Arabidopsis thaliana: one gene and its partners. The protein of the gene in region 1 interacts with the protein of each later gene in a biochemical or structural test. Each region holds a gene or a part of one and is shown on either strand. Other genes may lie near its edges.

Region 1 (6,073 bases):
CAACCTTCATTCACCAAAAGATTTCCAAAACTGAAATCACCATAGAATCTTCAAAATCTAGTCTTCAGAATAAGAGTACAGTCTACAAGCGAAGAAAAAAAAAAAACTTCTTTGCACATTTGTAAACAAAAAGTTAGGCTAGTAAGCAACCATTCAAATGGTAAATGTTACCAAATTACCAATCAAGTCCACAGAACATACACACAAAAACGAAAGACCGGATTGATGGGTTAATGGAGGAAGGTGGGGGCTGACCGGCTGAGAAGTGATGTGACGGATCCTAATAAGAACAGCAATCGTACACAACTTGCTGCTGTGAAAGAGAGAAAGAGAAGTACCAGTGACAAGTGGCATGCCACGTGGGCCGGCGGTTTAGGACCCAATCAGAGTGAAACTGCCACGTGAGATCCTCTCCACGTCCCGACAACCATCAAAATTCAAAGCCTTCTTCTTTCTGTTTCCTCCATCATGCTCTTTAACTCATTTTTTCCCTAGCATATCAATTTTAAAAAAATAGTTTGCAATTTACGGCAATAAAATGTGGGCAACAAAAACAAAACTGAATATTTACATTCGTTTTCATTGTACAATAGAGGGTACATTCAAAAAATACAACTCACTCATTATCCTAGATTGCTTTGCCATATAATAGTAGAATACGTAAGAATGTGTCTACGATGTATTCTAAAGGATAACAAGGGCTATGTGAATTATAAAATCAAGGCTATATATGTGTATGCATATTTTGGTTCGTGTAAACATGTTAAAAAGTTGCTTTGTTGTAATCTATTTAGAAGCACATGCATGTTGTAATCTAGCTTCGAGAGATGTTGCACAACATGTATCAGAATGCTTTAGCAATATTGCTTTATTAATTATAAGTTGAAGATATTGTTTCCTTCTTGTTTGTTATATGATATAACTTTATTAATCCATTGGTTTCATTGTGACCAAGAAGAAGAGGTTTGCTAGAATTTCCTCGTTCTCGCTGCAATAGTACTTAGTGATTAGTTAATTGATAATCATAAATCATATCAACATTCACTTCTCTCAGACTGCTATCATTTAGTGAATCATAATCTCTGCTAATATTGAAAAATTGGGAGACGAGAGATAGATGAGAGTTGTAGCTAGCTTTAGTCAAAGTGGTCCTCTTCTAATGTGACTATACCACCGTTTCCATTCTTTCAAACATTGAAACATTTATGCTGCGGTGGAGAGAAATAAACATTTCAGAAAAATTAATTGATAGATGTACTCGTCGATGAAACTATATCGAAACAATATTGAAAAAAGTATTACCAAACACAACTTATATGTCACTAAAACTCGTCTTTTTTCTTTGTATGGTCAAAACACTAAAACTCGTTCAACAACTGAAAAGATTGTCGTATTGAAATAAAATTCTTTGCCCGAATAGTTGTACATATGTATTTTTTTGTTAAGATCATTTTGATATTTAAGATACTAAAAATTCTGCAGAAGACATGCATATTTTAAAGTTTAATAAATGGATTACTTTAGAGATTGAGTCTATGAAACTGAATACTAAACATTTTTGGATTCCAACAAATATATTATGGCTCTGAATGGTAATCAAAACCGCACTTAAAACCGCACCGCAACAGTACTGTAACAGTATTAAAATCTCTACATATTCATATGTATCTATATATTTTCGTTACTATTTGAACCGCACCGTACTTCTCCCGCACCGCAAAACGCAATCACCATTCGGAGCTTATATCATGGAGATGTAGCTGGGCAAACATATGATATCGATATCCAGACCCTAAAGAATTTTAAAATATCAAAAAATTATTTGTACCCTCAAACAAATTTAAATTGAATTTTATTGACACTTTAACACGTGTAACAGTTAAATTGGACGACTCTTTCTAAAACGAAATAAAAAAGAGTTTAACAAGAGATTCGTTTCAGTTTAAGAAGAAAAAAAACACGAGATTAGTCTTCCAACATGGACAAGGACATGACAATTTGCACGTAATCATATAGTTACGTTAATCAATACAATTACGTAAATTAATTTATTATGGCACGTCACAGCATCATCGTAGATCAAGGGTAAAACAGTCATTCTCCATCATCCAGGCATATTCCGGTCGGTGAATTGAGGAGGTTGAGCGATAAATTTTCCAATTCGATTCTATATTATTGGAAACTACTTTCGGGTCGGCAAAACAATTCTCCTTCGATTTTCCGATTCTCACAAACTCAATCTCGATCCAGATTCCGAGCTTATCCTTCTCTGGCGAATTTCGATTTTCTGTGTTTCCGATCTGATTACAGAGAACCACATCGAAGCTTCGAGAAAAAAAAACACGATGTTTAACGGGTTAATGGATCCTGAGATGATTCGGCTCGCTCAAGATCAGATGAGTCGTATGACTCCTGCTGATTTCGCTAGGATCCAACAACAGGTTTCGTTATTTTTCCTGATTCGAATTATTCGATCGATTCTGAGGAGAATTTGTTTGATTTGATTTGATTATGGCTTTGTATGATGAATTTATACCATTGTTTATTATACAGATGATGTCAAATCCAGATTTGATGAATATGGCAACAGAGAGTATGAAGAACATGAGGCCTGAAGATTTGAAACAAGCTGCGGAACAGCTTAAGCATACTCGGCCTGAAGATATGGCTGAGATTAGCGAGAAGATGGCTAAAGCTTCCCCTGAAGATATTGCAGCTATGCGTGCTCATGCTGATGCTCAATTTACTTATCAGATCAATGCAGCTCAGATGCTTAAAAAACAGGTAACAATTGACTTCCTGAGAGAAGTTTTCTATTGAATTTTGCTTTCCTGATTATAAAGTAAGGAACAAGAATGGCTTCAGCAAGTGGACCTTTGTGTAATTTGATGTTAATCTCATTTTCTACTACGTTTGGCAGGGAAACGAGCTTCATAGCCGAGGAAATTTCAGCGATGCCGCAGAGAAATACTTGCGTGTAAGTCTGCAGACGTATCTCATTTGTCATGCTACTTGACAAGAAGAGTTTTATTTGTAACCTGATATGCGATTCTTTTCTACTTGTTTACAATGCTCTTGGACCATATCTCAGGCGAAGAACAATCTGAAAGAGATTCCATCTTCTAAAGGTGGAGCAATTTTGTTGGCTTGTTCTCTCAATCTAATGTCGTGTTATTTGAAGACGAATCAGCATGAAGAGTGCATAAAGGAAGGTTCTGAGGTATATTCTTTATGCTCTTAATTTTCTGAAAACTCATAGATGAAAACATTTTTAGGAAAAAGAGAGATGGCAATCTTTTGGCTTCTTTTTTGTAGATGTAACACATGATGTCATACAGCGTTTTATGATCTATTCAAAACTGTTTCGACATTCTTCTGATAAATTTACATTCTTACATTATTTCAGGTTTTGGGATATGATGCAAGGAATGTCAAAGCCCTATACAGAAGGGGTCAAGCTTACAGAGATTTGGGCTTGTTTGAAGTGAGTTCTTCTGTTGCTTATGGAACTTTCTTGAGATTCCTTGTCGATATATATGTTTGTACTGTAGATATGTCCTGACTATATGTTTGCTCAATGCTCATTCACTCTCTTAAACTATAAGGATGCCGTCTCTGATCTAAGCAAGGCCCATGAAGTTTCCCCAGAAGATGAGACAATTGCCGATGTGTTAAGGTATGGATTTTTATATTCATTACTGGTAATGTCATACTTTTCAGTTCTGCTTATCTCAGAGGTTTTGATATTAACATTGAAAAAATAACTTTTGACTTGAAGTATTATCTTTTCTGATGCAGAGATGTTAAGGAAAGATTGGCTGTCGAGGGACCTGGCAAGGCATCAAGAGGTATAATATTATTCCTTATGATTTATTCGAAAGAATTCAGTGTATTATGTCAGACCAGACGTTTCTTTACTACATCAATGATATGCTTCGTCCATGAATATGGAAACGAACTGAAAAATGTTATGTTGTTTGGTTATTAGGTGTGGTGATTGAAGACATAACTGAAGAAAATAATGTTACTTCCGGAGAGAATAAAAAACCGTCAAAAGAGGCTAATGGTCATGCTCAGGGCGTAAAGACTGATGTTGATGGATTGCAAGCTCTCAGAGATAATCCAGAAGCAATCAGGTTCGACACCTTTCCAAACATTAGTGTTTGATGTGTTGTTTCATCTTTTTGTCTCCTAATCTTGAAGACAAATATAATCTAAAGCATCCTTTTTCTGCTACATTTGGCACGATTAGTATGATTTTCTAATTGTTTTTATTCTTTCTATGGCCTGCAGAACTTTCCAGAATTTCATTTCAAAAACTGATCCCGATACACTTGCTGCTCTAAGCGGAGGCAAAGCTGGAGACATGTCACCGGACATGTTCAAAACTGCGTCAAGTATGATAGGCAAAATGTCACCTGAAGAGATTCAAAAAATGGTTCAAACAGCCTCTTCGTTTAAAGGAGATAACCCTTTCGCCCCGACTGCGCCATCTACCGAAAACGGTTTTACACCCACACCTGACATGCTTAAACTTGCATCTGATATGATGGGTAAGATGTCACCAGAAGAGCGTGAGAGGATGTTTAACATGGCATCGTCTTTGAAAGCAAACGCTCCAGCTTCAACATCATACGGCAATGCAGAAGCATCTGAACCACGGGAAAGTTTAGGAGCGAGTGGGAGTTCTTCGGGAAATTCCTTTGTGGCTCCAAGAAGCGGTTTCGAACCAAGCATCCCTTCTGCTCCGCCTGCTGACTTACAGGAACAGATGAGAAACCAAATGAAAGATCCAGCGATGCGACAGGTTTGATCATTTTCGGTTTATGTTTTACCAATTTAGTCAACATAATGTGATTGTTGATGTTCATATAGTAGTTTCTCTGTATATTGGTAGATGTTCACGTCTATGATAAAGAACATGAACCCTGAGATGATGGCTAGCATGAGCGAACAATTTGGAATGAAGCTTTCTCAAGAAGACGCTGCAAAAGCTCAGCAAGCCATGGCTTCTCTTTCTCCCGACGCCTTGGAGAAAATGGTACGAATTCGGTTTAGTAAAACCAAAAGAACATTCAAAGTTGATTGTATAGTTGTCTCAATTGTAAACACGTTGTTGCAGATGCGATGGGCGGATCGGGCTCAAACCGGGATGGAGAAAGCGAAGAAAGCAAAGAAGTGGTTGTTCGGAAAAGGCGGATTGATCTTTGCAATATTAATGCTCGTTTTAGCAATGGTCCTTCACCGTCTCGGCTATATTGGAAACTAGAGGAAACAACGGTATCTTAAGGCTTAATCCTTCGTGAAGATAAAACCAGTCTTCGGTGGGTTCGTTTAGTTTGTAAAACTGTAACATCGTTTTATCTTCTTTTTCTTTCCTCTAACTCTCAGCTTTTTGTTAGTCCACTTGTGTCTAAATTTCTTTACACTTTCTTCTGTAGTGAATTTTAAATTAGAGAAAATACGAATATTTCCTTATATTCGTTATTTTATAAACATAATTATGCTTCTGGTAGAGCGCCTCTACAAGAAAATTGGTTATTTGCGTTGGGAGATTCTTTTAGCAAATAGAAAAGACCATTTCTAATGGTTGTCTCTATTTTTCTTTATAAATATAGAAGGAAAAATAGAGATTTTTATTTTCTATTTTTATATATAGAGAAAAAAAATAAAGATCTCTATAATAGAGGTAAGAATAAAGATGAGTTAGAGTAAAATAGAGGCAAAAATAAAGTTTAAAGACAAAAATAAAGATGAGTTGGAGATGTTCTAAAGAGAAAAGTTCGAGTAAAAAATTTTTTTTTCGCAATCCAACGTTTGCAAATTTTGCGAGGAGAAATTTTGAAATAAGTATATAAAATCATCTTAAACTTTATTAAATTCATAGATATTAAAAAAATAAAAAAACTTCATTAAATTTTAAATTATATTTTTTTTTGTGCACCCAAAATTTAGATAATTTAATTATTTTAATATACGACTGAATACACATTCTTCAAAAGTAAAAAATAAAGAAAAAACTTAGAAGGATGAAGTACAAGAGAAGGAAACACGTGTCTTAATCTGGGGCCCA
Region 2 (4,943 bases), on another chromosome or scaffold:
ATCCTGGTGTTATTTTTGGTCCAGGCAAGCTCACTTCAGCCAATATGGTTGCTAGAATGGTATGATTCTTCCTTTTGCTGATTAGAGTTGCATTGGTGGGATGATGTAGTGGTACATTGACAGTATGTGGTTGATTATCACATGATGTTGTTCTTCTAGTTGATCGAGCGCTTTAACGGGAGGTTGCCTGGATATATTGGCTCTGGGACGGATAGATACTCCTTCAGCCATGTTGATGATGTTGTGGAGGGTCATGTTGCTGCAATGGAAAAAGGTAGGCTTGGTGAAAGATACTTACTCACTGGGGAAAATGCTTCTTTCAAGCTTGTCTTTGACATGGCTGCACTGATTACTGGAACCAAAAAGCCAAACTTTAGCATTCCATTATGGGCCATCAACGCATACGGATGGTTATCTGTTTTAATCTCTCGGGTTACAGGAAAGCTTCCACTTATCAGTCCTCCGGTGAGTTTCAATTGCATTCATTAGTTGCCCACATATTATAGATTATCTTATTAGGTATAGAATAATCTCAACTCTTAGTATTTTGTGATGAACAGACAGTGACAGTGCTGAGACATCAGTGGTCATACTCTTGTGATAAGGCTAAGCTGGAACTTGGTTATAACCCTCGAAGCCTAAAGGAAGGATTGGAGGAGATGCTCCCTTGGTTGAAGAGTCTGGGCGTCATTCACTACTGAAATTCAAATTTCCCATCTTTCAGGTATTTCGAAGAATAATATTCCCTTGAATTCAGTCACTATGATGAGTGATGACTACATTTTTACTTCTCCCGTTACACTTTTAACCCAATCGATTTTTATCTTGTTACAAAACTGCTTCGTTTTGATCGTGTATGTCAAATAAATGTGAAACATTGTGTGCAAATGCTGATGATCATATTTTAAGATGTTGAGCTACGTGTGAGAGTAGGAAAGAGGGAATATGTAAATGTGGGAAATAATCACATTTTATCTGCCAAGAACTATATGATTACATCTATAACATATATGATCAGAAGATAAATACTAAGTATCCATATAATTTGTTCATGATGGTTTTGATCTTTTAGGATATCCACTTTATTGTAGCTGCATGGCCGTTGGTAGTCAATCTTCTTTTCAGTTTATGCTGTTCAGTGTTCACAAAACAAATTAAATAGGTCAATTAGAGGATTATGTAGTTAGAAGCTCTCACAACTACACATGTTTCGGCAATATTAAAAAGAAACTGCAGTAGCTACCTGTTACAGTCCACAGTCTTAGAGAAAGGGACTCCTATATTAACACCACATTTAGCAGGGAGTTGTTTGGCAAAATCATCATTAATTCCAGGGATTGTATTAGCTACACTCTTCAAGCAATTACAAGCTACTTGTCTATCGGCTTTCTCAGGCGCTGCGGCTTTTAGACTATTAAGTCCGTTGCAGCACATTGGAGACGGATTTCCTCCAGCTTTTAGATAAGGCAAACATTGTGCTAAGTACATGTTTACCTGCGGACATGCTATGGCTTCTCCATGATACGCAATCCCCAATAAAATCGTAATCACAAGTAGTAACATTTTTCGGGTTGTAGTAGTAATGTTCCTCATATTTTTCAGTTAACGAGAGTTTTAACAATTTTGTTTTCTTTAGTGTGTTGTTTGCTTGATCTAGTAAGTATTTTATAAGGAGGAGAAATTTGGAGGAAAAAAATGTCATCGACATGAATTTTGAGTGACAAAAGCTTTTTGTAAGTCATGTCATGTGTTTAGAATGGTGTGGAAGTTGAGTTTAGAAAGTTAATAAATGCTTTGTCACCAAACTTTTGATCAAGGGCCATATTAAACGTAAACTAAAACCAATCAAGTCCAATAAAGCCCAAATAAAAAAGCCCAAACGAATTGCTCTGAAGCCTTTTTCTTCACTCTCTTCATAGTATCAAAAATTGCTTCTTCTTCTTCTACTTCTTTCTTCTCTCTGCAAATCCAAAAATGGAGTCATCAGTGAAACCCAATCCTTTCCTCTCCTTCTCTTCTTTCATTCACCACCAGTGTACCCGCTTCAGCTCCGACCTCTCCGCCCGAATCGAAGACACGAAACGATTCGCCGAAACCCTAGCTACTCGACGTTTCTCTCTTCCTACTCCGCCGCCTTTCGCCTCCGTCTCACAATCCAAGTCTGGAACCCCGACGACGACGTTGAGTCCATCTCTTGTCGCTAAAGCTCTCGCTGGGACGTCGGTGTTTACAGTCAGTAACACCAATAACGAATTCGTTCTTATCTCGGATCCTACCGGAGGCAAGTCTATCGGTTTGCTCTGTTTTCGACAAGAGGATGCTGAAGCTTTTCTTGCTCAGGTTTCGCTTTTTGTTGTATTTTTCTCCTCCGAACTTTTTTAAAAAAATGTGAAGTTTCTGAGCTCATAATTCTCTAATATACTCCTTTAGGCGCGACTTCGGAGAAGAGAATTGAAAACCAATGCGAAGGTTGTTCCCATTACTCTGGACCAGGTAGTTCCCTTTCCTTATGATCACTGCATTAGATCAATGTGGAAGAAGCCATTGGTTAAATCAAATGAAACAAACAAATTTCAGGAGCTCAAATTCTAAGTAGACTTGTTCATGTCTGGCCTCATTTTAGTTGTTTATATTATACGGTAATAGGAACACCTGTTGGCAGTTTGAATGAACGGGAGATTGTGTTCTTGTGCACGTAGCAATGTTGACAACATCGTCACAAGAAAGAATGCAACGATGGCATGATTATAATCCCTCTAATGGCTTGGAACTTATAAGTTATAACTACGTTTAGGGAACTTTTTGATGTTATTTGCGTAATCGTGGTAGCTACATTCCCAGAAGTTAAGATGATGTTGTTTACAGGTGTACTTGCTAAAAGTTGAAGGGATTTCCTTTCGCTTCTTGCCAGATCCAATCCAAATAAAGAATGCGTTAGAGGTTGGCTCATGCTAAACAGACTTTTAATTATATGTGTCTATAGCATTTATTTGGCATTTCAATCTTATCCATAAGCTATATTTTCTTGCGTCTCAGCTCAAATCCTCAGGAAATAAGAATGGGTTTGATGGAGTTCCGGTTTTTCAGGTAAATTGATATACTCATTTTCTGTGTTTTTCTATTATACCAATATGGATTCCTTATGTTTTGGTGTTTTTGCTTTGTTTTCTCTTGATATCTATCTGTTGTTATTGGCCTCTACAGTCTGAGCTTCTTGTTGTGAGGAAAAAAAATAGACGTTACTGCCCTGTATATTTCAGTAAGGTTGGTTAGTTTCTTCTCCCACGTTAAAGAATACTAATAGATCTCTCATAAGCCAAAACAGAGGAAGATAACTCTTACTTTCCTGTTCTGCGTGACCACTTTCAGGAAGATATAGAGAGGGAACTTTCTAAATATACGAGAGCATCAAGAGGAGATCAACAAATTATGGTAATGATTCATACCTACCTTCTATGTATTTGAATCTTCGATAGGCCACGTAAGATAGAAACAAACACCTTGATCTAAAGACATGGTTTACTAACAAGTGGGAGTAGCTAGTAGCTGTGTTGGCATCATATGTAATTTCTAGCATTTTTTGTGATTACATGTTCTGCAAACATATAACACCATGTTTTCAAAGGAACAGCGAGGGAAAGGGAAAAGTCTTAGAAAACTTTAGAAAGAGCGGAATTCAGATTGTACATGCCTTCATATATCTGAGTTAAAATGAATTCCAAGGTTTATCGTTATCAAAGTTGCATATCAGAGATCAATATATAAAGTAATTTCACAGCATTGGTTTTGTTAAGAGTTTTCTTATCTTCACCATGGAACTAATCTTTTTGTTTTGCAGGTTGGGAGTCTGGAAGATGTGTTGAGGAAAATGGAGGTACTCACGCTTCTTCTTTGTTTAAAGAAACCTTAAAGTATGAAAACCTGGTAGTCTAATAAAAATCTGAATTGAATCAATGTAGATGAGCGAGAAGAATTCAGGTTGGGAAGATGTAATATTCATTCCACCGGGAAGAAGTTATGCACAACACATGCAGGATTTGATCAAAGAGTAAAACCATAATAGACACAATGTGTGTATTTTTACTTGATAAAAAAAAAACAGCCTCTTTTGAGATTTTGCAATATTATCAATTGCCCAAAGAGCTCAACACAGTCCCAAAATTTAGTTTTCTCCTCTCCTTTTACCACTTAAACACATCATCAACATGTTACTCGTGGTTCTTACATCCAGAAAAATATATTTGGCATATACGGATACCTAAATCAAATAACATAATCTTGTTTGTTTTAAAAAGTGGAGATGTACGTTATTCATCTGTCATTAGAATGTAGTATCAGCCTAATTATTCAAAGGAGGTTGAGGCCTCTAAAATGATATGTTGGTTTAAGCTAATTATTGATCAAATTTGGTTGATATACGATTATTAAAACTAAGATGTCTTACCAATACTTATTTTCATTTTCTTTTCCTCTCATCATAATCGCTTTGACATCTCAGCTTAATGATAATGTGATTATTTTCATCCTTACTAATTGTTACTGCCTTAAAAAAAACAAGTTGAAGTAAGAAAAAGAAAAGGAGATGAGATTGTTTCAAAAGCATTGATCCTTTCCTGAAGCGTAAGTAAGCGATGTTGACAGCAGAACTAAACTTGTTGCTTGCTTGACTTCCTCCGTCGTCGCATATTGCACCTACTAACATTTTTTCTCTTCTTTATTCTTCCAACCAATTGTAGCCTATGGTCTTTTGTACCAATTTTTCAAAAGTTGTAGTTGGTAGAGGTTTTGTGAACAAATCTGTAACATAATTTATTTTCTAACATAGATTGCATCGTTTTCTGATAAAGATCATCAAATTGTGGAAATATGTAGTTTTTTTTTAGTTTTTTTTTTTTGGGCGGAAATATGTAGTTTATTATCCTACTTTTGATGACATTTTCCTT
Region 3 (4,510 bases), on another chromosome or scaffold:
TTCGTGTTTTATATAGCCTTTAGTGTTGTTGTTGCTGAAATCAGTGAGTAAAATGCTATTTATGTTCGTTTGATTTCTGATTAGTAACATACTCAGCTTCTCGCTGTCCATTGTATTGTAGTAGAATTCTTGTAATGTGAATTGCTGATGATGAGTCTTTAACATTTTCTATCTAGGTATCTCCTGCTTGTGTTCCTTTCTACTGAGTTTGTGGTTGGAGATTTGAAGTACTTGTGTTTTAAGGGTAGTAAGTGGTTAACTACAGATGAATAAGAATCAAACAGTTGGGCTAGACTCTGAAGATGATGACTCTGATGATTACGACATTGCGCAAGTAAACTGTGAGCTAGCTTTGGTTGAAGGTCAGCTCTGTAACATACCATACGAGCTCTACGATCTACCAGATTTAACGGGAATATTGTCTGTTGAGACTTGGAACTCACTTCTGACTGAAGAAGAAAGATTCTTCCTCTCATGTTTTCTGCCAGATATGGATCCACAGACTTTCAGTTTGACGATGCAGGAACTTCTTGATGGTGCCAATTTATATTTTGGGAATCCAGAGGATAAGTTTTACAAGAATTTGCTAGGTGGATTGTTTACTCCAAAGGTAGCTTGTTTCAAAGAAGGTGTTATGTTTGTCAAGAGGAGAAAGTATTACTACTCTTTAAAGTTCTATCATGAAAAGCTGATCAGGACATTTACCGAAATGCAAAGGGTGTGGGTTCAGTATGGAAATAAATTGGGCAATTACTCAAGGCTCCTCATTTGGTCAGGACGAACTCAAACCGGTAATCTCAAGCTACTGGACCTCAATAGAGTTCCATCTAAGGAAATGGATAGTGCTACATGTAGATTCAAAACTCCCAATGTAGTGAAACCCGTGGAAAGAAATAGATCGAAAAGTTTAACCTTCCCTCGCAGTGGCAGCTCCAAGAACAGTCTCAAGATAAAGATAACCAAGGAAGGAGTATTCCGGTATCAAGGTTCCAGCTTAGTTTCTGCTGGCCATCATCATCAGACTTTGCCAAAGGGTGTTCTCAAATTAGTCCCTAAATCTTCTTCTGCCATCCTCAGGAAACCCTATGTAGCTCCAGGAAACAATCTCCTGCAAATCCATGAAACCGGTTCAAAGAGTACTAGATTTGCAGCGTCTCCATACTTAGGTACGACATTTGAGAAACCACCCTACGGAACTCTTGGCTGTTCTATCCCAGACCCTTTCTTAACCTATTTGGAAACTACACAAAGATCAATCCAAGGTACAGAACCGGTGTTTCATGATCCAACACACACTGTTCCCAGTGCTCTCCGTGTTTCAAATTACTCCATCACAGAACAGAATATACCTCTAAAGCAAGAAGAATATGTCCGGTACCACCTGAAGTCTCCTGGTTTTAAGCCTAGGACTGTTGACAGAGGCTCTGAAACAACAGAGAGCAAGAGGATTTCGTCTAGTAATAACTTTCAGAGGGAAGCCAAGGCTCTGAGAAAACCGCTGGGGGTCCTGAGCGAAGACAATCATGCTCGAGAAGCCAATAGTGACCATTTGTTTTCCTTGACTTACAAGCGAAGAAAGGTTCAGAGAATCGCTTGAGCTCCCGTGACGCTATGCTAATTCAATGTTCCACCTAATGTAGTCTTCCATGAAAATATGAAGTGTAATGCTGCAACTTGGTAACTGGATTTGGTTTGGGGTTGAGTTTGTTAGTTTTCAAAATTTGAAGGCACTAAAAAGAAACACTAAAGAAATAGAGGAGTAAAAGTGAAAATAATTTGAACTATTAAACAAATTACCGATAAGGTCACATTCTTTAGCTTTTCTCTGCGGAACACATCGAGAGAGCTTCTTCCAAAAACCTCAAACGCTCCTCACACAACGGTAAGCTCCTCCAAATCTCCCAAAACGTTATCGCTTTCGAAATTAATTATCATCATCGTCATCACTCAGCGATTATTTACCAAAAGAATTTTTTTGCTGAAGGGTTTAGGAGTGATGGGGTCTCTCGTTCGTGAATGGGTTGGGTTTCAGCAATTTCCAGCAGCTACCCAGGAAAAGCTGATTGAATTCTTCGGAAAATTGAAGCAAAAGGTGTGTTTTGTTGTTGTTGTTCCTGTTTCTTTGGTGCTTAAGTCGGTTTCTCGGATTCTCCGTTGTGATTAGGAGATAATGATGGGAGGTTTTTGTAATTGCAGGATATGAACTCAATGACAGTTCTTGTTCTGGGTAAAGGCGGTGTCGGAAAATCATCCACTGTCAATTCTCTTATCGGCGAACAAGTCGTCCGTGTCAGTCCTTTCCAAGTACGTAATTCAGTTTCCCTAAGCTTGATTTTTTTAATTTGGATTAAGAAAGAGTAGTCATTTCAAGATATTTGATGGCTCTGTTTTGTTGATTTTGTAGGCTGAAGGATTGAGACCAGTGATGGTTTCAAGAACAATGGGAGGGTTCACTATCAACATTATTGACACCCCTGGACTTGTGGAAGCTGGATATGTCAATCACCAAGCTCTCGAGTTAATCAAAGGGTCAGTAGCTACTCTTTTGGAATATCTCTTCGTTGATTGTTGCATATAGGATTATCTCATTCGTTTTTGAATTAATTAAGCTAAGTATATATGTGGTTAACATGTTTACTTGTGGGTTTCTGTTGAAATTGTGAATTATGAGTATCTGGTTTACGCTGAAGCTGTATATTGGAGTGTGTGTGGAAGTTTTACGATAGTTGTTGTGTTTCTCGGATTTTGGACAGGTTTCTTGTGAACAGAACAATAGATGTCTTGCTCTATGTTGATCGTTTGGATGTGTATAGAGTCGATGAGCTAGATAAGCAAGTTGTTATAGCAATCACCCAAACCTTTGGAAAAGAGATATGGTGCAAAACCTTGCTTGTTCTGACTCATGCTCAATTTTCCCCTCCCGATGAACTTTCCTACGAAACTTTTTCCTCCAAGAGATCAGATTCTCTCCTCAAAACTATCCGGGCTGGTTCTAAGATGCGAAAACAAGAGTTTGAGGTATGGTTATTTATACATATACCTGTCTCCGAAAATTGTTATACCAATGTATGTTTGGTTCATTGTAGCAAGAATCAGTTTCATTCTTTACTGGCTTGTAGGATTCTGCAATCGCGGTAGTCTATGCAGAGAACAGCGGAAGATGCAGCAAGAACGATAAGGACGAAAAGGTTTGTGTTTTCGAATCTCTGATTTGATCCGACTTGGAGAGAGACTGACTGTTAAAAGTTGCTTACCTGCTCTCGGTTCAGGCTCTTCCAAATGGTGAAGCGTGGATCCCGAACTTGGTTAAGGCGATAACTGATGTAGCAACAAACCAGAGGAAAGCAATTCATGTAGACAAGAAGATGGTAGATGGATCTTACTCTGATGATAAAGGAAAGAAACTCATCCCTCTTATCATAGGCGCTCAGGTAAGAAAGAGACACAGTTTGATTTATTGTCTTGTTCGAATTTGGTAAACAAGTGAAATCCTTTCTTCTACTTTGCAGTATTTGATCGTTAAGATGATTCAAGGAGCAATCAGAAATGATATCAAGACAAGTGGAAAGCCACTTTAAGAGGCTCTGAAGAAGAGGTTTTGTTGTGAGCAAATTACAAGGAGAAGAAGAGTTTTTCGATTGTTCTTTCTTTTGTTAGATTTTATCTGCAACATTTTCTTGTTTCCGGCTTTATCTTTGTCTGTAATTTATGGAGATTTGTTCAAAGAAAAGATTGCCATGCTTTCTGGTTAAATGAAATGGATGTTTCCCAATCATAATATCACCAAAAAAAGAATATATTATGTTCTGTAGATAAGAAAAACAAATGATCTGCTAAAGTCTGTTTTGAATCAAACAAGTCTTTTAGCTGATGGGATTAATTGTTTGCATCCTCGGGTGATTACATAAACACAGATCAACAGAAAACTCGGCATAACCAAGGCCGCTTCTATCTCCCACAGGAAGACTAGCATTGGTAGCCTGATGTCAATGTCTGTTAGATCATCAATCACTGCTGCTTCTGTTCCATTATAAACAGTTTATTGAGAATTGGTTCGGAATCATCATCATATCCATCTCTTATTTCCTAATACTAATAGACATGAGTGTTTGTTTGTAACAGAGGTTTAAGAAATAGATCGTCCCGGTCCCACATAATCTAACAAACTTACCGTTTAGATTAGATAATCACCATCAGATCTCACAGTTGCAATATGATGAAAATAGACGGTCCAGATTTCTCGAACGTTCTCAAATAAGAAAAAGGAAACAACTGTTGAAGATAAAAGGAAAGTAGGAAACAATCGAAATTTGGATATGGTAATAGTCATTTTGACATGTGCAATCTTTTTAATATGTTGTAGTACCTGAAAGAAGCTGGATGGGCTCAAGGAGACCGAGTTTTTGCTTGTACCAGCCAAGACCTTTAGCTGTCCCGATTTGTTTTTGGATCATATCACAAGCTGCTGCATGAGGTATTGCTTTCTTCATTTACTTTTTTTTTTAGTAAT

Evidence for each region.
Region 2: the proteins of TPR7 (region 1) and Tic22-IV form a complex in vitro, tested with the Arabidopsis thaliana proteins (one study listed by BioGRID).
Region 3: the proteins of TPR7 (region 1) and TOC33 form a complex in vitro, tested with the Arabidopsis thaliana proteins (one study listed by BioGRID).

What each region holds. Positions count from the first base shown.
Region 1 is NC_003076.8:7,271,050-7,277,122, forward strand, and holds TPR7 (Tetratricopeptide repeat (TPR)-like superfamily protein), read left to right. Parts: upstream 1-2,021; 5' UTR 2,022-2,345; coding exon 2,346-2,441; intron 2,442-2,553; coding exon 2,554-2,784; intron 2,785-2,920; coding exon 2,921-2,977; intron 2,978-3,091; coding exon 3,092-3,220; intron 3,221-3,406; coding exon 3,407-3,484; intron 3,485-3,605; coding exon 3,606-3,676; intron 3,677-3,798; coding exon 3,799-3,848; intron 3,849-3,988; coding exon 3,989-4,136; intron 4,137-4,293; coding exon 4,294-4,807; intron 4,808-4,897; coding exon 4,898-5,041; intron 5,042-5,122; coding exon 5,123-5,269; 3' UTR 5,270-5,530; downstream 5,531-6,073. UniProt on the Arabidopsis thaliana protein: Plays a role in protein import into the endoplasmic reticulum (ER). May function as chaperone docking protein during post-translational protein translocation into the ER. Chaperone receptor mediating Hsp70-dependent protein targeting to chloroplasts.
Region 2 is NC_003075.7:16,063,747-16,068,689, reverse strand, and holds Tic22-IV (Tic22-like family protein), read left to right. Parts: upstream 1-1,792; 5' UTR 1,793-1,974; coding exon 1,975-2,340; intron 2,341-2,430; coding exon 2,431-2,493; intron 2,494-2,865; coding exon 2,866-2,940; intron 2,941-3,036; coding exon 3,037-3,087; intron 3,088-3,204; coding exon 3,205-3,264; intron 3,265-3,369; coding exon 3,370-3,432; intron 3,433-3,838; coding exon 3,839-3,874; intron 3,875-3,959; coding exon 3,960-4,052; 3' UTR 4,053-4,253; downstream 4,254-4,943. Other genes in the region: FLDH (NAD(P)-binding Rossmann-fold superfamily protein), read left to right, coding at 1-59, 160-465, 561-701; AT4G33355 (Bifunctional inhibitor/lipid-transfer protein/seed storage 2S albumin superfamily protein), read right to left, coding at 1,122-1,131, 1,244-1,593. UniProt on the Arabidopsis thaliana protein: Involved in protein precursor import into chloroplasts. Imported into the intermembrane space via the Toc translocon. May be involved in the import pathway used by proteins without a cleavable N-terminal pre-sequence.
Region 3 is NC_003070.9:447,733-452,242, reverse strand, and holds TOC33 (translocon at the outer envelope membrane of chloroplasts 33), read left to right. Parts: upstream 1-1,816; 5' UTR 1,817-1,882; intron 1,883-1,984; 5' UTR 1,985-1,996; coding exon 1,997-2,092; intron 2,093-2,196; coding exon 2,197-2,304; intron 2,305-2,404; coding exon 2,405-2,529; intron 2,530-2,753; coding exon 2,754-3,018; intron 3,019-3,119; coding exon 3,120-3,188; intron 3,189-3,269; coding exon 3,270-3,431; intron 3,432-3,509; coding exon 3,510-3,578; 3' UTR 3,579-3,820; downstream 3,821-4,510. Other genes in the region: AT1G02290 (uncharacterized protein), read left to right, coding at 266-1,597. UniProt on the Arabidopsis thaliana protein: GTPase involved in protein precursor import into chloroplasts. Seems to recognize chloroplast-destined precursor proteins and regulate their presentation to the translocation channel through GTP hydrolysis. Binds GTP, GDP, XTP, but not ATP.